Coturnix japonica: one gene and its partners. The protein of the gene in region 3 interacts with the protein of the main gene of each other region in a pairwise test. Links are inferred from orthologs where the notes say so. Each region holds a gene or a part of one and is shown on either strand. Other genes may lie near its edges. The genes, in order: TSFM, REPS1, RALBP1, CEP57 and GSE1.

The links.
Region 1: the proteins of RALBP1 (region 3) and TSFM interact in binary tests that used the Homo sapiens proteins (3 or more experiments, as listed by UniProt). The two-hybrid records come from large-scale screens. The link is inferred for Coturnix japonica from reciprocal best matches to the Homo sapiens genes RALBP1 and TSFM.
Region 2: the proteins of RALBP1 (region 3) and REPS1 interact in binary tests that used the Homo sapiens proteins (3 or more experiments, as listed by UniProt). The link is inferred for Coturnix japonica from reciprocal best matches to the Homo sapiens genes RALBP1 and REPS1.
Region 4: the proteins of RALBP1 (region 3) and CEP57 interact in binary tests that used the Homo sapiens proteins (3 or more experiments, as listed by UniProt). The two-hybrid records come from large-scale screens. The link is inferred for Coturnix japonica from reciprocal best matches to the Homo sapiens genes RALBP1 and CEP57.
Region 5: the proteins of RALBP1 (region 3) and GSE1 interact in binary tests that used the Homo sapiens proteins (3 or more experiments, as listed by UniProt). The link is inferred for Coturnix japonica from reciprocal best matches to the Homo sapiens genes RALBP1 and GSE1.

Annotation. Positions count from the first base shown.
Region 1 is NC_029544.1:1,424,715-1,428,733, reverse strand, and holds TSFM (elongation factor Ts, mitochondrial), read left to right. Parts: upstream 1-1,505; 5' UTR 1,506-1,531; coding exon 1,532-1,585; intron 1,586-1,760; coding exon 1,761-1,913; intron 1,914-2,027; coding exon 2,028-2,156; intron 2,157-2,467; coding exon 2,468-2,587; intron 2,588-2,751; coding exon 2,752-2,836; intron 2,837-2,919; coding exon 2,920-3,350; 3' UTR 3,351-3,516; downstream 3,517-4,019. Other genes in the region: EEF1AKMT3 (EEF1A lysine methyltransferase 3), read left to right, coding at 1-73, 213-325, 533-972. UniProt on the Homo sapiens protein: Associates with the EF-Tu.GDP complex and induces the exchange of GDP to GTP. It remains bound to the aminoacyl-tRNA.EF-Tu.GTP complex up to the GTP hydrolysis stage on the ribosome.
Region 2 is NC_029518.1:48,937,386-48,941,378, forward strand, and holds the start of REPS1 (ralBP1-associated Eps domain-containing protein 1), read left to right. Parts: upstream 1-1,186; 5' UTR 1,187-1,269; coding exon 1,270-1,422; intron 1,423-3,993. UniProt on the Homo sapiens protein: May coordinate the cellular actions of activated EGF receptors and Ral-GTPases.
Region 3 is NC_029517.1:88,793,198-88,796,712, reverse strand, and holds part of RALBP1 (ralA-binding protein 1), read left to right. Parts: intron 1-1,797; coding exon 1,798-2,147; intron 2,148-3,515. UniProt on the Homo sapiens protein: Multifunctional protein that functions as a downstream effector of RALA and RALB. As a GTPase-activating protein/GAP can inactivate CDC42 and RAC1 by stimulating their GTPase activity.
Region 4 is NC_029516.1:165,697,379-165,700,893, reverse strand, and holds part of CEP57 (centrosomal protein of 57 kDa), read left to right. Parts: intron 1-792; coding exon 793-870; intron 871-1,771; coding exon 1,772-1,876; intron 1,877-2,023; coding exon 2,024-2,104; intron 2,105-2,411; coding exon 2,412-2,656; intron 2,657-3,309; coding exon 3,310-3,454; intron 3,455-3,515. UniProt on the Homo sapiens protein: Centrosomal protein which may be required for microtubule attachment to centrosomes. May act by forming ring-like structures around microtubules. Mediates nuclear translocation and mitogenic activity of the internalized growth factor FGF2, but that of FGF1.
Region 5 is NC_029526.1:15,698,903-15,702,069, reverse strand, and holds the end of GSE1 (genetic suppressor element 1), read left to right. Parts: coding exon 1-46; intron 47-140; coding exon 141-263; intron 264-350; coding exon 351-701; intron 702-920; coding exon 921-1,187; intron 1,188-1,382; coding exon 1,383-1,486; intron 1,487-2,402; coding exon 2,403-2,537; 3' UTR 2,538-2,657; downstream 2,658-3,167.

The DNA of each region.
Region 1 (4,019 bases), on a different chromosome or scaffold from region 3:
TCTGCGGCCGCGTCCTCCGCATCGCGCAGCACCACGGGCCGCGGCTCGGGATGGCGGCGGCTGTTTGGGACGGGGTGAGAGAAACGGGGGGAACCGGGACGGGGGGGGGGCTGAGGGTCCCCAAATACCCCCATCACTGTGACCCCCCCACACACACACACTGTGCCCCCCCCCCTATCACTGTGCCCCCCCCCATCACTGTGCCCCCCCCCGGCGCTGTGTCTGTGCCGCTTCTTCGAGGAGCAGCGCATGGATTTCAGCGGCCGAACCGTCATCGAGCTGGGAGCCGGGACCGGCATCGTGGGGATCCTGGCTGCGATGCTGGGTGAGAACATGGGGGGGGGGGGGCACGACCCCCAACGTGGGACCCCGACAAAGAGTCTGTGGGGCTGTGAATGGGGGCGGCATGGGGGGGGTTTGGGGTGGGGAGAGCTGAGCTGCCTTCCCCCCTTTCCCTCTTCCCTTTCCCTCTCCCCTCCTTCCCTTTCCCTCTCCCCTTTCCTCCCCCCTTTCCCTCCCCTCTCCCCCATAGGAGGTGATGTGACGCTCACCGACCTCCCCCTGGCCCTGGAGCAGCTCCGTACCAACACGGAGCTGAACGCAGCAGCGGTGGCAGCGTCTCGGGGCCGTGTCCGTGTCCAGGCGCTGCCGTGGGGCCGGGCGCTGGGCTCCATCCCGCACAGTTACGACGTGGTGTTGGGGGCCGATGTGGTTTATGACCCGCGTTGTTTCCCAGCGCTGCTGGACACGCTGCTGCAGCTCTGTGGGCCTCGGTCCGTCGCCTTCCTGAGCTGCGGGATGCGGCCGCAATTGGGCACCGCCGGGTTCTTCTGGGAGCTGCTGCCGGTGCATTTCTGTGTGCGGCTGCTGCGGCATCACAAGGACAGTGACGTGGGGCTGTACAGGGTGACACGGCGCAGGGACAGCAACGGCTGCAGCCCCATAGAACAGCACGGGGAGCAGGAGACCTGAGTGAGTGATGGGACACTGTGATGGCACCAGGGGCAGCACCAACATCATCAGCACCATCATAGACACCATCATAGGCACCAACATCAGCACCAATATCAGCACCAACAGCAGAACCAATATCAGCACCAGTATCAGCACCAACAGCAGCACCAGCACCGTCCCGTCCTGCAGTGATGGTGGATGATGGTGGATGATGGTGGATGATGGTGGGTGATGCTGGTGCTGGGGTGGGTTTATGGGCCTCATTGAAGTTAATGGGGCCGTGGGCTGGATTGAAGGCTGCTGAGGGCTCCCAGATCTATTCCATGTGCCCCAAACCCGCCCCATCTTGGGGCAGCGGGGCCGTTTTCTCGCCCTTTCTTTTGAATAAAGGGAATTTTGGTGTTTTTTAACCCGAATCTCGTGTTTTTGGGGCGCTTTAAGCTCCTCTAAAGGTCGCACTGCTCAAGCGCTGTACCGAAATGTCCATAGTCGGCATCCGTAGCGAGTGACGTCATTTGTTCGCGCCGCGTTGTGACGTCATAGCCTCGCGCCGCCTGCGGGCGTGAGAGAAGCGGGGATGCAGCGCGCGGTGTGGGTGAGCGGAACCGGGAGGGAGCGGGGACATCACGGGGTATAACGGGGTATAACGGGGCACAATGGGGCATAACGAGGCATAACGGGGCTTAATGGGGCCTGATGGGGTATAACGGGGCTCAGTGGGGCCTAACGGGGCCTAGTGAGGCCTAGTGTGGCCTGCTGGGCCCTACCCGTTCTTCCCGTTGCTCCCGTTCTCTCTCCCCCCTCAGGCCGGTTTCCGTTCCGCCGTTCGCTGTTTCTCCGCCGCCCGCCCGGCGCTACGGGCGGATAAAGACGCGCTGCTGCGGCTGCGGAAAAGCACCGGGCTGCCGTTCGGAGCGTGCGCGGAGGCGCTGCGGGACAGCGGGGGGGATGAACGGCAGGTACCGGAGAACGGGGGGACCCGGGGCGGGGCTCATCACCCCCAGCTGTTCCCGTTCACCCCCGTCTGTTCCCGTTCACCCCCGTCTGTTCCCGTTCTGTCCCGTTGTCCCCAGGCCGAGGCGCTGCTCCTGGTCCGGGCGCGGCGGGACGGGCGGCACCGGGCGGAGCAACTGCGGGAACGGGCGGCAAAGGACGGACTGATGGGAACCGTGGTACGGGGGAACTGCGGAGTCATGGTGGAGGTACGGCCGGGGGGGGATGGGGGTATATGGTTATATGGGGGGTTATATGGGGGTATATGATTCTATGGGGGGTTATATGGGGGTATATGGGGGTTATATGGTTCTATGGGGGGTGACATGGGGGGTACATGGTTCTATGGGGGGTTACATGGGGGATATATGGTTCTATGGGGGGTATATGGTTCTATGGGGGAGATGGGGTTCTATGGGGGGTATATGGGGGTATATGGTTCTATGGGGGTATGTGGTTCTGTGGGGGGTCATGGAGCTGTCACTGTGCTCATCCTGATCCCCCCCTTCTCCCCCCCCAGGTGAACTGTGAGACCGACTTTGTGGCCCGTAACGCCGCCTTCCAGCAGTTGGTTCGTGACGCCGCGTTGGGCGCCATGAGCAGCTGCCACAGCCCCGACCCCCCCACGGGATGCGTCAAGGTGGGACGAGCTCAGGGCATCACCACCCCATAGGGACCGGGGGGTTATGGGGGCTGTGGGGGTTATGGGGGCTGTGGGGGCTGTGGGGGTTATGGGGGCTGTGGGGGCTGTGAGTTGAGCCGCTCGGTCCCATCTGCCCCCCCGCCCCCTTTGTGTCCCCCCAGCGCTTCCTGAGCCCCGTGGAGCTCTCCCAGCTGCGGACGGAGCCGGGGGGGGCTCAGCTCAGTGAGCGCCTGGAGCTCACCATTGGTAAGGAGGCGTTTAATTTGTGTCCCCCCCCCGACCCCCTCATTGTCCCCCCCGTGTCCCCACGTCCCCTCATTCCCCCCCAGGCTCCATGGGTGAGAAGATGACCCTTCGCCGTGCCGCGTTCCTGGCTGTCCCCCCCGACTGCTTCATCGCCTCCTACACCCACGGCCCCCCCCCCGGGGAGCCCCCCCCGTCGCACTCGGTGCCAGCTCTGGGTCGCTATGGGGCGCTGGTCGCCTGCAGGGTGACGGAGCCGGGGGTCAGCCCCGATCCCGCTGCCGTGGGCAGGAAGGTGGCGCAGCACGTGGTGGGGATGGCGCCCACCAGCGTGGGAGACCCCGGGGATGGGGCGGGGGGGAGGAAGGAGGAGGAGGAGGAGGAGGAGGAGACGCGGCTGTTGGCACAGAGCTTCGTGCTGCAGCCCGCTGTGACAGTCGCCGAGTTCCTGCGGGCCCACGGGGTGACGGTGCTGGATTTTGTGCGGTTCCAGTGCGGGGAGGAGGAGCGGGACTGAGGGGGGGGGTCTGTGGGGCTGAGGGGGGGTTGGAGCTGTGGGGATGGATGGGGCAGAGCTGTGGGGATGAGAGGGGCAGAGCTGTGGGGCTGCCTTGTGCCCTGGGCTGAGCAGCGGATCCCTTTGTGGCTGCTCCCCCCCAATACAGCCTGCATTCACCCATCACTTTCTGCTCCGTTCTTTAATGCCATTTCTGCTCCCCACCCCCGGTTACAAACGCCCCTTGCTATGGGGCAGTGGGGGGGGGGCTTAGAGCCCCTCAGTGCGGCCTTTGGGGGGGTTTGTTGTTGGGTCCTCCCTGTGCTGCTGGGTGATGCCACTGGGGGGAGGGGGGGGACACATTTGGGGACCTCAGTGCCTATGGATGGGGCGGGGGCAGCAACGGGACAGAAGATAATGAGCATTAATGAGCGCAGTGCTGTAATTAGAGGAATGGAACGACTGTGTGGGTTGGGGATGGGGGGACACAGTGGGGATGTGATGGGGACACAGTGAGGGGGTATTGGGGACACGGGGGGTCACAAAGGGGGCAGGTCATCCCTGAGTGATTCTGGTCCCATTTGGGTCCCATTTTGGTGCTACTTTTGTGCTGTTCCAACCTCAGTGCTGATGTGGTGCCATCCCAGCTCCATCCCAGCTCCATCCCTGTGTTATTCTGGTCCCATTTGG
Region 2 (3,993 bases), on a different chromosome or scaffold from region 3:
GACCATGCTGACCTAGTGAACACCTGGCATCATGGAAAAGCATAAATGAAAGACTGGCAGAACAGGAGATCTGGGTGAAGGGGTGAGCAAACTCATCCAACTGTGGTTCTTCGCCAGAGGGCAGTGAGCTGGAACAGGCTCCCCATATTGTAGATATCTAAATAATTTATCAGGACAGTATCTGTTATAAAGCAGATTTTATTCATTATCGCAATGGTGAGCATCCTGCAAGCAGGAGCATGAGCAGAAAACAGCATTACAGCTTTTATGTCATTACTTATCTTTTTCTCCCCTGGTTCCTCTTTGGCTGAGTATTTCAGGTTCACAATCGTCCCAGGTTTATATCCAGTACATACAGGTACTGGATAAAATTAAATTTCACAGAATCACAGAATGACCCGGGTTTGAAGGGACCTCAAGGATCATGTAGTTCCAACCCCCCTGCCTGGCAGGGCCACCAAACATACACATTTACTAGATCAGGTTGCCCAGGGCCCCGTCCAACCTGGTCTTGAACACCTCCAGGAGGGGAATCCACAACCTCCTGGGCAGCCATGTTCCAGGGCCTAACCACTTCTCCTAGTGAAGAACTTCCCCCTAACATCCAACCTAAATCTTCCCTCTTCAACTTAAAACATTTCCCCGTGGTCCTGCTATTGTCAGCCCTTTCAAAGAGTTTTACTTCCTTCCTGGGAGTAAGTTCCCTTCAGGTACTGAAAAGGCTGCAATGAGGTCACCCTGCAACACTTCTCTTCTCTAGGCTGAACATAACCCAACTCCCTCAGCACCGTCCTCATAGGGGAGGTGCTCCAGCCCCCCTGATCATCCTTTGGTGGCCCTCCTCTGGACCTGAAATTTTCTGGTAGCCCAAGCATATCACAGAATCACAGAATCACAGAATTGTAGGGGTTGAAGGACCTCTAGAGATCATGCGAGTCGCAACCCCCGCCAAAAGCGAGCTCCTACACCACATCACACAGGTAGGCGTCCAGGCAGGTCTTGGAATAATCTCCAGAGAAGGAGGCAAACCCACCACCATCCCTGGGCAGCCTGTTCCAGCGAATATATTGCTTATTGGTTAACTTCTCACATTTGCTCACTCAACACTCAGTCATTATTTCTGGAGCTCCACCTCCAGACGGAAGGTGGCGCTACCGGCGGCCCCCACATCCGGGCCTCGTGCCGCCCCCTCCCGCTCCGGGGCCGTCGCTTCCGCCGCCGCCGCTGGATGCGGGACGGCGGCAGCGCCGCGCGGAACCGGGGCGTAAGATGGAGGGCCTGACGCTGAGCGAGGCGGAGCAGCGCTACTACTGCGACCTCTTCTCCTACTGCGACACCGAGAGCACCAAGAAGGTGGCGTCCAACGGGCGCGTCTTGGAGCTCTTCCGCGCCGCGCAGCTGCCCAACGACGTGGTGATGCAGGTATAGCCGTGCCGGACCCCAGCCCGGGCACCGCCCCGCGCCTCATACCCGCGGTGGGGAGACGGCCTCGCTCCGCGCTGCCGCTCCTCCCCGCCGCCGCCTCGCCCGGCCCGGCCGCAGCCCACGCGGGGAGCGGAGCTTTTGTCCGGGCCGGCGGCGACCACCTGAGCCCGGGGAGGTGGAACGGAGAGGCTGTGGCGTGTGCCCTCGCGTAGGGCACCGCTGTTGGGTGCGTGGGGCCTGTGGGGCGGGATGGGGCTGCTGGTAACCTCCGGTACAGCGACTAGTGGGGTGTTGCTGTGTTTGAGGCCGTCCAGAGAACCCTGGAGTGCTTTGCTGTGTGGGAAGGGGCCGTCCTGCAGCGTGTGGATGGAGGGAGTATGGGTTTCTGCCGTTGGGTGTTAGTGAATCTAGTCTTGTTTCATCCCAAATCACACGGTTTTATGAGGGCTCGTGGCAGATACTGACTGTAGTTAACAAAATATTTCTAACGCTGGAAAATGCAGTGTTAAGAACGATGTAGCTCCATACTCACAATGTATATAAGATTTTTCACACTGCTTCCATGAGCAGATAACATCTAAAAGCTGGTAGTAGTAGGACGGAGCTACTGCTGTAGCAGAATCAGCTCCGATGTGCCTCTTGCGATCGCTTGAGGAAAGTATTCCCAGTGAATCATTCTCACCAACACCTGTTTGTAGCAGTTTCCTGCTTTTGGAGTTCCCAGTTCCATACTTATGTAGCTTTTTGAGCTACCTGGAAAGAACGCTTTTGGTAGAACTGTTTGGTAAAAGCCGTTCGTATCTTCTCTGCACTTACATCCTCTTCTTGGCTAGATGAGAGGCCCCTTCTAACAAAGCAACAGTTACTGTAGCCAGAAATATAGTACACAAATGTCAGCGTTCAGCACTTTATTACCAGATTCCAGGAGAATACTTATGCTTAACGAGGATTACTGATTTGTTCTGGGCTGGTAAGTGCAAGTGGGTTAGTTAAAAGGACTTCAGATGCCTTGAATCATGTGCTCCAGCTCAGTGGGAAAGGTGATTGTGTGCAGTGGTTGTTTTTAAATAGAAATAAAGGAGGAGAGGGCTGAATAAGGAAAACTTCTTACTGGTAAAACTAGTAATCTTTTATTTGATGACTTGTCAGACAGGACTGAATGGTTAGAGTCTGTGTGCTTGGTGTTTTGTGAATGAGCTTTCTCAAGGCCACCCACTGCTGCTTTTTGCATGTGGCCAGCACGTTTCAGAAGAATCATCCCGGGAAAGTGAGTGTTTACAAGTTTGTTCCATTTAAAAATCTCTTTTTCCATAAAACTTGCCTGTTTTATCTACACAGGGATCCGGACTAGTACTAGAGTTTGCTTTGTGTGAGCACTGGGTACAAGAACTTGGAGAGACTTGGAATTTTGAATGCAAGTGGCCACAGATTATGTCCTTATCTGTTGCAGAGTAGGTGAAGTATTTTCTGGCAAAGTAGAGCACAACTGAAGGAACAATAAACTACTCATTCATCATTCCATGGTTTCTAAATAAGCAAACTTAAGGAGCAGACCAAGCTTATCTCGGTGGAGATCGCAAGAAAAACCTTGCAGTTCAAATGGCAAAGGAGATGTTAGATTGCATGAGGTATGAAACTGTAAATAATACAAAGAAAGTCAAGATGCCCTTAGCAGTGTGACTCACTTCGGATGGCTTGTGCAATCGCTGTGGGTCACCTGTGAAGTACCTTGTATTTAAGGACAGACTCTAGTTGCGTAGCTCTTGGTCTCAGCAAAATATGCCTCTGCTTGATACCTGCACCGAAACATTGTATTTCCAAAGGAAATTGTATTTGCTGCTTAGAAGCTAAGAATGTAAAACTAAAACCTCCAAATGATAGAGCTCATGAAATAATGAGACAGTGTGATTGGATGTGGGATTTTCCTTTAACCATACAGTACTGTGCCCTTACCTGTTCATTTGAAGCACCTGATGTCTGTGACGGAAAGGAACTCAATTCAGTTTCTCAAACCTTATATAATCCTGGAATGCAGTTGTGGTAGTAGTCGTGTGAAATGCAAAACAGTGCAAAATTGCTGCTCTTCAAATTCACAGGCACCAGGTTGTCCTGAGGAGCTACCTGAGGTTTCGCTCTTCAGTCCTGTGGGTCTGTAAATAACCTCGGGATTGACTCTGTTGAAAATGAACATGTGTGACTTAATTGCATTTCTGGGCCCGTAACTTGTTTTGTTTCCAAGTCTGTTCTTTGGGGGTGAATGTACAAGCAATTTTTCCTGCAAAGGGTTATGTTTATTTTATATGTCTTACAGCATGAAAAGTTAGTAACTGCTCTTAATCAATTTCCTTGCCGGCTGTAAGGGTTCCCTCAGCTGCCTGGTAAAGGAGAAGGAATGAAGGCACAGAAGACTGAAACAGTTGCAGTTAATGTATATAAATCATACTCTCACAAGGCAACAAAAACTCTGAATGAAAAGCTGCACATGATACATAGTATATACCTAAAAAGGGGCAGCCTTAGCACTGCCACAGTGAGAATAGCACTACTTCACAGCAGTTAGTATTTGAA
Region 3 (3,515 bases):
ACTGCTTAAAGGAGGTAAAAATATATCTAATTAGACCTGTTGTGATGGGGTGATGGTAAGTATGAATAAAATGTGCTGCATTGGCAAGCTTGTATTCTTTTTATTTGTATTACTTCTGCATGAGAAATGCTATTCTAGTTGATGGGAAAAGCAAGGATGAGAAATAACCATTTTACGACTTAAGCTTCTCACTGTTGCTTTTTACTGTGTATAATTTTCTTCTTTAAAAGCTTCTTTTGTTTGGGCAAAGTCACTAATAAGCAGAAAATGCAAGTTTCGCATTTAAGCTTAGCCACAGCAGGATAATTAACCACAGGAGTTGTGTAACACCTGCTTACATAAAGCAGCGTGGTTTGTAGCTGTGTTAAACAAAACAATCCCTTTGTGAACTCTTTGCAGTGAAACCCAAGCAAGTGTTTCAGTGTGCACGTTCAAGGGAGCAGAAACAAGTGAGAAAAGGAACTTGGGGGAAAGCACTCGGAACAAGTTATTAGCAGTGCTGCAGAGCAGTGATCAAACAATTGCTAACGTCTTCATTCAGCTGTCCTTATGCTGATGGTCTGCATGGTACTTGGTAGGGATGCTCAGCAGTTTCTTAGTCTCACCCGTGAGACCATTCTGGCAGTACATTATTTTCAGGGCAGGCTGAGTTGGGATGTTCACGGGAGGTTTGTTTTCCATAAGGTGTTTTTGATGTTTGTACCATCCAGGTGTTCTCCAGTGCAATAGCACCCTCTGGTGTGTGCGAGAGTACTTAAATTGAGGGCTCTGAATGACAACGGCCTAGCACTGTACCAGCACTTGTGATGAGTAACTTATTGGGACATGAAATAGAGCACATTTTAGCTGGCATTTACCGTGGGCTGGGTGCACCCAGCTTTGTTTATTGTACCAGAGCCAACATATGGCAGTGCAGTAAGTCACTGAAAGCCAAATGGGTGTTTGAGCTTTAAGAAAGAAACTTTTCTGACTTGAGGAAGATTTGAATGTCACTGAGTTGTAAAAACACTGTGCAAAAATACTGGCAAGTCTGAATAATTACATGAACACCTGTTTCACACACAGAATCACAGAATGACCCGGGTTGGAAGAGACCTCAAGGATCATGTAGTTCCAACCCCCCTGCCTGGCAGGGCCACCAAACATACACATTTACTAGATCAGGTTGCCCAGAGCCCTGTCCAACCTGGTCTTGAACACCTCCAAGGACGGGGCATCCACAACCTCCCTGGGCAGCCTGTTCCAGGGCCTAACCACTCTCCTAGTGAAGAACTTCCCCGTGTTTATTCATACATTGCCTCAAACCAAAATGCTGTGTGAGATTTCTCCAGCTGAAAACCTGAAAACTAAACTGTGTGGGCTTGGTTTCACAGAGGAAGGCTCACGTTTAGAATTTCTTGCACAGTATTGGAGTTGATAAGGACATACTTGCTGTTTGGTTGAGAGCTGTTATGGAACAACTTGGGAGAAATTAAATGGAGAGAAACAACAAGGGGAATCATCTTTTTACAAGGGTGAACAGTGATAGGACAAGGAGGAGTGGTTTTAAACTCAAAGAGTGAAGGCTTAGATTGGATGTCAGGCAGAAGCTCTGAGGTCAGTGCTTTTAAATACAGTGACCATGTTAATCCTGAGTTGCAGTTTTGTCACATGTGAATGATCTTTAAAAGCTATTCTTCAATTAGTTTAATTTGTAAGGAGAAGAGCTTCTCAAAGAAATAAATAAATAAGAGTATTACAACTATTATATATGTAGAGCTGAAAAATCATCTTAATTCTTTATTTAAATATTTTCAGGAATAAAGTCAAAAGTCGATGAGCTCAAAGCAGCCTATGACCGAGAAGAATCTCCCAACCTGGAAGAATATGAGCCCAATACAGTAGCCAGCTTGCTGAAGCAGTACCTACGTGAACTGCCTGAAAACTTGCTTACCAAAGAGCTAATGCCCCGCTTTGAAGATGCTTGTGGAAAGAGCACAGAAGCTGAGAAAGTCCAGGAGTGCCAGAGGCTGCTGAAAGAGCTGCCGGAGTGTAACCATCTCCTCATTTCTTGGCTCATTGTGCATATGGACCACGTTATCGCAAAGGAACTGGAAACAAAAATGAACATCCAGAATATTTCTATAGTGCTCAGCCCTACTGTCCAGGTATGTGCCTCACACAGGTGCTAGAGCAGAGTGTCAGCACAAGAAAGGTTTCTTCATAGGAGTTCTCTTGCATGTGTGAATCAGGCACTGTCTGATACAATTAAGCTGAATTAAATCTCTTCTTTATACTTTGAGAACATAAAATGCACAGAAAGTAGGGAGGGGGAAGACTTTCTGAAGGTGAGCTTGCATAGTATTAGTCTTGTATCTGCTGTTATGAAAACAGTGCAAAGATTGCTTACTGGGCTTTTTTATTCCGTGAGCACAAGTAATTCAACATTGAATTAATCTGCTAATTCAAGCGGATGTAGGATTTCTGTGTTTCTGATGCAGTGATGACTCAGTGAAGACTATTCTGTTGCTTAATTTTACTATCAAGCCACTGAACCCTGTACTGCAAACAGATCTTGCTGATGCAGTGATGACTTATGGCCTCAAGTTGTGCCAGGGCAAGTTTAGGTTGGATATTAGGAAGAACTTCTTTACAGAAGGGGTAGTTATGTACTGGAATAGGCTCCCCAGGAAGGTGGTTGAATCGCCATCCCTGGATGTGTTTAAGAGCCATTTGGATGTGGTGCTCAGGGATATGATTTAGCAGAGGGTTGTTAGAGTTAGGGTACTATGGTTAGGGTGCAGTTGGACTTGATAATCTTCAAGGTCTTTTCCAACCTGGGTAATTCTATGATTCTATGACTTGGGTATACAGAATTCCAATCCTTCTTTCAGGATGCGTTTTTAAATGTTAATGGAAGACATAGCATCTGAATAAATATTTGCTTCTGTCTCATTTTAAAGCAAGGAATACGATAACAGCTCCTTTCAAGCCATTTTTTTTTAAACTGTTTTGAATCTGAGAGAGAAGTTGGTGAAAATACTGAAGTTTTGGGAGAAGAGAGAAGGCAGCCCATCCATAGCACAGAATGTTTGGTGCTCCTGCTTACCTATTGCTACCACTTCCACCTTTGCATGAGCAAAAAGAAAGAGGTGGTCAGAGAGCTGGAGCACTTCCCCTATGAGGACAGGCTGAGAGAGTTGGGGCTCTTCAGCCTGGAGAAAAGAAGGCTCTGGGGGGACCTTACAGTGGCCTTCCAGTACCTGAAGGGGACCTACAGGAAAGTTGTGGAGGGGACATTTTATAAGGGCAGGTAGTAACAGGATGAGGGGAAATGGCTTTAAACTGGAAGAGAGTAGATTCAGACTAGATATTAGGAAGAAATTCTTTGCTGTGAGGATAGTGAGACACTGGAACAGGCTGTCCCATGAGGTTGTGGATGCCCCTCCTTGGAAGCATTGAAGGCCAGGCTGGATGTGGCCTTGAGCCACCTGGTTTAGAGGGAGGTGTCCCTGCCCATAGCAGGGGGTTGTAAC
Region 4 (3,515 bases), on a different chromosome or scaffold from region 3:
TCATACCTTTCCATTTCAGGTTGTTTGAGACTTAGTTCAGTGCTTACCTCTTGGTGATAGCTGAGGATTCTACGTTACCTGTGGGATATAACCATTCTGAGAGCTGAGCTTGGAAGGGGGATTTTGGAATACTATTTGATTGCAGGAAAGGAGAAAAATGCTTTGGGAATATCACTGAATTTCCACAGTGTTTCTGTCACTGAAGATGTAGTGAGACACGTTCTTGCTGCACAACTTGAGCTATACCCTCCAGCTAAAACAACTGACTGAGTGAATGCTTGGTCTATTTTTGTGCCAAAGCATTGGTTTGGCTTCCTGTCAGTCTTCAGCTCAAACAAAAGGTTTGCTTCTGCATTCGCATATTAAAGCTGTCATATGCAGCAGGTTAAACAGCAAACTTTGCCCATGTGGGAGTCAAGAACTGACACGCTGTCATGGGTGGACGATGTTAAGTTGCCTTTCCATTCTAATCTTCATTAAGTGACTGTATGGTCAAAAAAAATCCCTTATCTCAGAGTTCAGCCTCATAAATTACTCTTCCTGTAGGCTGCAACTTGAATTCAAATACCAATTCTGGAAGTAAAAGTGGAGAAATGATTTCTATTTAAAGCATAACCACTGCTCTGTTGCATTTATGCCTGTATAGGTGGCATTGCTTCAGTGATTTTTAGTTCTAAAGTCTTAACGTAGCAAGTTGAGCTGCTAAACTCCCGCTGAACCTCTCGGTATTGTGAGCTTCATAAAGAATTTGCTTTGCTAGTAATGCTTTTGTTTTCGTTCAACTTTGACTAGAAAAAAATGAAAGAGCTGGAACAGAAACTTCAGGAGGAAGAGCACGCGAGGAAGCTTGTCCAGGAAAAAGCAGCTGAGGTAACAGCAGGAGAATTGTGTTGTACTGCTCTGCGCTGTAAGGAGCTCTTCTTGATTTATCAGATCTCGACTACGTTTGCTGGTTATGTCTTCTCCATACAGAATGCAGGTTGCACCTTCACCCTTAGGTGTCTTCACCCCATCCTCTCACCTGATGTTCTGAGTGCCTTGGAAACCTTTTTCTCACAGCATCTGTGCGCTTAAGCCTTAATTTTTTTTCAATAAGAGAAGCTGGTTGGAAAAGTAATTCAGACTAATTTGTAGCTGAGGATGAATGAAGATCTATGCTTTAAATAGATCAATTAGTTAAGAAGTGTGTTCCCTTTATAACTGTAACTAGGAACACTGCATAAGGAGGCAAAGAAAGAGGCTGTGAGTCTGTAAGGAAGGACAATGGCCTCCTGTGGTCATTATGTACTCATCAGTTGTGTGTTGAATAAGTATTTTGGTAACATGGTGGGCTCTGTGACCTCTCCAGTAAGCGATAAGCTCAAGTCAATCATAAATGTTTTGTGATTGCTTGAGAGATGATTTCTAATGCCATAATAAGAAGGAACAGCAGAGCGTATATGCCACAAAATCAATGGAGGAGGGCTGGTCACTTGAATTCCTTATTATTTTATAAAGTATAAAACACAGCATCTGTTTTGATGCCTGCCTGCATGGGAGTTATTCAGTACAGCTCATTCTTTAACTTACTGGGATTAGCCATGAGAAGTGTTGTTGAAGGAAATGTTCTTATCTGGTGTTTAGATTTAAGCTGCAGGAGCATCTGCACACTTGCAGCCCTTGCTTTCGGAGAGCTTGTGTTTTAAAAGATGCTCTGTTACCAATCTGAGCACCTCCTGTCTGATAATCCATTATATGATTTTAATCATTTCTCTCATTCCCTTCATTGCAGCTTCAGACAGGCCTGGAAACCAACAGACTGTTGATTCAAGCAGCATCACCACTGCTTTCTCCAAAAGCAAGAAAACCCAGGAAGAAAACTAAGCAGCCAGAGAAGGTAATGGGGAAGAGAAGGGTGGGTACTGAGAAGTGAAATCGTGTGCATGCAGTCAGAAAGTAGGCTGCCTCTTATCAGAAAGCTGAGGCACAGTGGGTTTGCTGTAGTGTCATCTTTGATAAACGTTTCTCTCTTCTTTCCTTTCAGAAATGCTCTCTTACAAGCCATCTCACTACGCAGCCCCATTACAGACTGTGTCTGGGTGATGTACCCTTTGTAGCTGGGAAGGTGAGCTGCTGAATTCCAAGGCTTAATGCTCAGTAGCTGCAGCTCCTTAAATGGCTTTGGCACGGTGCACTCCTGACACCCAGTGGTCAGATCTTGTTTTCCTTGGCTCTTTTATCTTCAAAAAGCTTGTTAATCTGGTGTTTTCTAACACGGGTCTTTTGTGCTGCTTGCTGGTCAGGCTCTTCCTGTTATGTATATCCACTCAAAGAAAAAAAAATGTTGGTAGCAAATAAATTCTCATTTACGTTTTTCAGTAAGATGAGTAGGTTGATGACAATGTCACTTAAAAGAGGTATTTTCCTTCTAGTCTACCAGTCCCAGCCATTCAGTTGGTGCCAATGTACAACACGTCCTACACCTCATGAAACATCACACAAAAGCTTTGTGCAACAGTCGCGTGGTGAATGATGCTCCTCTAGCAAAGCCCATCAGTGCGGGTCATCCTGCCAGCAGAAGCAGAAAGGCACCTCTGTCCAATGACTGTTCTTCATCGCAGGAAGAGCTCTCAGAAGTTCTGCAGACTTTACAGGATGAGTTTGGGCAGATGAGTTTGTAAGTCTGATATATTTAATGCTGCAGACCACAGATGCACGTGCTTTATATTCTTCTTTTGAAGTCAGAAAGTTTTGCTGGGGGAAGCATTTATGTTGGGAAGTCTATGGCGTGTAATCTAGTTGTAGCTGCAGAGATTTTCATTTCTCATTGCAGTTACAGATTGAGTCTGGTAATCCGTTGGGACTCTGTATGTGTGTTTATGTGCAGCAGTGTTTATGTGCAGCAGTGTCGTGTTTTTGAGGGGTTGGGGGGAAGTGTGGTAACAGCCCCCAATGCAATGAACAAATATTCCATTGGAAGACAGCTTGACTAGCTCTCTTGCTCATCCTGGCTAACAGGCGATGAACTGTCTGCCAGCACAACAGCAGTAGAAGCAAATGTATAAAGTAGTACCTGAACAAGTGCTGAGTTCTTTTCCTTAAGGGGTCTTTCATTTAATTTTAAATGTGCATGTAGAAGTTGTTGGTTATGGACAACTTCACATTGCAGCAGCCTGCTGCCAGGATATGCAAACTCAATGAAGCTACTCACTACCATAAGTGTTCTTACTGGTTCACTATTGCATGCTGAATTTGTTAGGCTGCTACCATGGCTGTGTATGCCAGCACTGAGTCTATTGCAAGCTTTGATCTGCCTATATTTTATGTTAGTGATCACCAGCAGCTGTCTAAGCTTGTCCAGGAAGCTCCAACCGTTGCAGTAAGGGAAGATCTGGAGAGGGAACTGGAGGTGCTAGTGGGAAAGATGGAGGCAAAGGCAGACCAGATCAACAAAGTTCGAAGGCATTGGCTGCAGGTGAGTTACTTGCCTATGATCATACTTGTGCAAAGGTGCTCTTTATTTTTTTTACTGTATT
Region 5 (3,167 bases), on a different chromosome or scaffold from region 3:
CTCACCATCTTCAACCTCACGCACATCAGCGCCGAAAAGAGGAAAGGTAACGCCATGCCCCGTGCTGGGGTGGGGGTCCCCGTCCCCGTGCCGCGGGGCTGCCTGGTGCCCGGCTGAGCAGAGGCTACACTAAACCTCAGCTTCCCATGCGGCAGACAAGGAGAAGCTGGTGGAGATGCTGCAGGCCATGAAGCAGAAGCCCACGCCGGCTGCTGTGGTGGTGAAGAGCTCTCCGCAGGACAGCCCCATTGGCCCCAATGCTGGTAAGCTCCTCCATTCCACTTTCCCTATTCACCTCCTGTGCCCAATTGGGCACCACTGTGCCAACACTTCTCCTTATCTACCCCAAGAGCCACCGCTGCTGCTGGACCCCGATAAGCCTGTGGGTATTGTCACCTCCGTGCCTGAGGTGCAGAAGCCATCGGAGCCGGGCAGAGTGGAGCCTCTGAGAGCTGCAGAGCTGCCCAGGGTGAAGGAACCAGCTGAGAAGCCCCGGTTGAGCGATGGGCACACGGGGAAGAAGGCACTGAGCATCCTCAGCTACGTCAGGGGCCCTCTGCCCAAGGACATCCCTGTGCCGCTGTCCCACAGCATGAATGGCAAAAGCAAACCTTGGGAGCCCTTCATTGCTGAGGAGTTTGCCCACCAGTTCCACGAGTCCGTGCTGCAGTCCACACAGAAGGCGTTGCAAAAGCACAAAGGTACCGAGCCGGGGCAGGGACCCCATGGGGATATAGGGAGGAAATCTGTGGGTTGGCACTGTGGGAAAAGGCATTTGTTAACCCCAGTCCCAGGGAATCCCTGGGAAGGATGATGGAGAGGCAAAAATGTGCTGGGAAAACACAGCACAGGCAGCAAAACTCATTTGTGGGGCTGAGAAAAGTCAGCAGGGAAGGGGGGCTGACACTCTGTGCCTGCAGGGGGGACGGCGGAGCAGAACCACAAACTGGACGCCTCCATCCACTACAACATCCCTGAGCTTCAGGCCTCCAGCCGCCCTCCTGCCCCACATAATGGCACGGCTGAAGGGCACAGGGCACTCGCCCCACCGCTGCCACGGGACCGCCGTGACTCGGCCTCTGAGGATGAGGAGGAGGAAGATGAGGAGGAAGATGAAGAGGAGTGCCCCAGGCCCAAGTGGCAAGGGATCGAGGCAATTTTTGAAGCTTACCAAGAACATATAGAAGGTAAGGACTGGGGAATGGGGCTTGGTGGGGTGTTAGCCACAGGGCCATGTCACCAAGCATCACGTCATGCCCTGCTGCCCCCAGGCTTTGACAGCCAGACCTTTCCCACCCTGCTGGCAAAGGGAGGAGGTTTTGTCCTGGGGCTGGCAGGGAGTGATGGCTTTCAGATGCTCACCCCATCCCTGTGCATTGCAGAACAAAACCTGGAGCGCCAAGTGCTGCAGACACAGTGCCGGCGGCTGGAGGCCCAGCACTACAGCCTGAGCCTGACAGCAGAGCAGCTTTCGCACAGCATGGCGGTGAGTGGGGCTTCTGGGGGGGCACCTGGACTCCGTATGGCACCCTGGCCTCCCAGAGAGGCACCCATCCTTCTGCAGGGTCCCCATTGTCCTCTAAGGTCCCCATCCTCCTGCAATACCCCCATCCTCTTGCATTAACCCCAAATCCTCCCTCCTGCAGCTCCCCATTCTTTTCAGTCTCCCCCATCCTCCTGCAGCACCCCCAAATCTTCACTCACTGCCCCCATCCCCTGCAACCTTCCCATTCTCTTGCACTGTCCCCATTGTCCTACAAACACCCCCATCCTCTGTAGTGCCTGATCCTCCTGCAACGGCCCCATACGCCTGCAGTGTCCCCATCCCCCTTCAATCCCCCCTATTCTCCTCCAATGGTCCCAGTCCTCATGCAGTCTCCCCATTATCCCCAGCCTTCTGCAATGTCCCCATCCTCCCCTAAGGTCCTCATTCTCCCCTAACATCCCCATCCTCCCCTAACGTCCCCAAATGTCCCCATCCTCCCCTAATGTCCCGATCCTCCTTAAGGTCCCCATCCTTCCTTAAGGTCCCCATCCTCCCCTAATGTCCCCATCTTTCCCTAACATCCCCATCCTCCCCTTAAGGTCCTCATTGTCCCCTAATATCCCCATCATCCCTTAAGGTTCCCATCCTCCCCTAATGTCCCCATCCTCCCCTAACGTCCCCAAATGTCCCCATCCTCCCCTAATGTTCCCATCCTCTTTTAGGTCCCCATCCTCCCTTAAGGTCCCCATCCTCCCTTAACATCCCCATCCTCCCCTAATGTCCCCTCCTCCCCTAATGTTCCCCTAAGGTCCCCATCCTCCTGCAGTTCCCCATTCCCCTCTATGTTCATCCCATCTATGTCCATCCCACCCCCTGCACCTCCCTGACCGTGTTCCCTTTTCTTTCCTCCCTACAGGAATTAAGGACCCAGAAGCAAAAGATCGTCTCAGAACGAGAGCGACTGCAAGCGGAGCTGGATCACCTGCGGAAGTGCCTTGCCTTGCCTGCAATGCAGTGGTCTAGGGGTTATTTCAAGGGGTATCCCAGGTGACGCTCCTTGGGCCGGGCCGAACATAATAGTCTAGAAATAATAATAATCTATTTTATTACCTTGAATATTTAATATTTTTCACTGGGGAGGTTTGAAGCTAAAAAAGAAAAAAAAAAAAAAAAAAGAAAAAAAAACGAAGAAGAAGAAAAAAAAAATAGAAGGAAAAAAAAAAAGAATAATAATAATAATAATAAATAATAATAATAATAAAAAAGAAAACGAAACAGAGAATGTGCCATGCATGAAGCAAAGGGCGGCAGGAAGGGGGGGGGGAGGAAGGAGGGGAAGGGGGGGGCTCTGACCTTGTGTCCTCCCCCCACCCTTCTGCCCCCCTCCCCACCCCCCCCAACACACACACACACTTTATATCGCTCATTTCTTGTTTTCTAAGTCCTGATGAAAGACTCCACCGCCCACAACACTAAGGCTGGAGGAGCCCTGCAGGGGGAGGGGGGCACCCCTTCCTTCTCATCCCACCCCCCACTTCCCATCACCCCCCCACCCCCCCCCAGCTTTGGGCTCCCCCAGCACCGCACTCGGCTATAACCAATAAAGTCCATGAACCCCTTGGAGCAGCGCTTCGTTCCTGGGGGGCACAGAGGGGGGAGAAGGGGTGGGGAGGGTCCCATC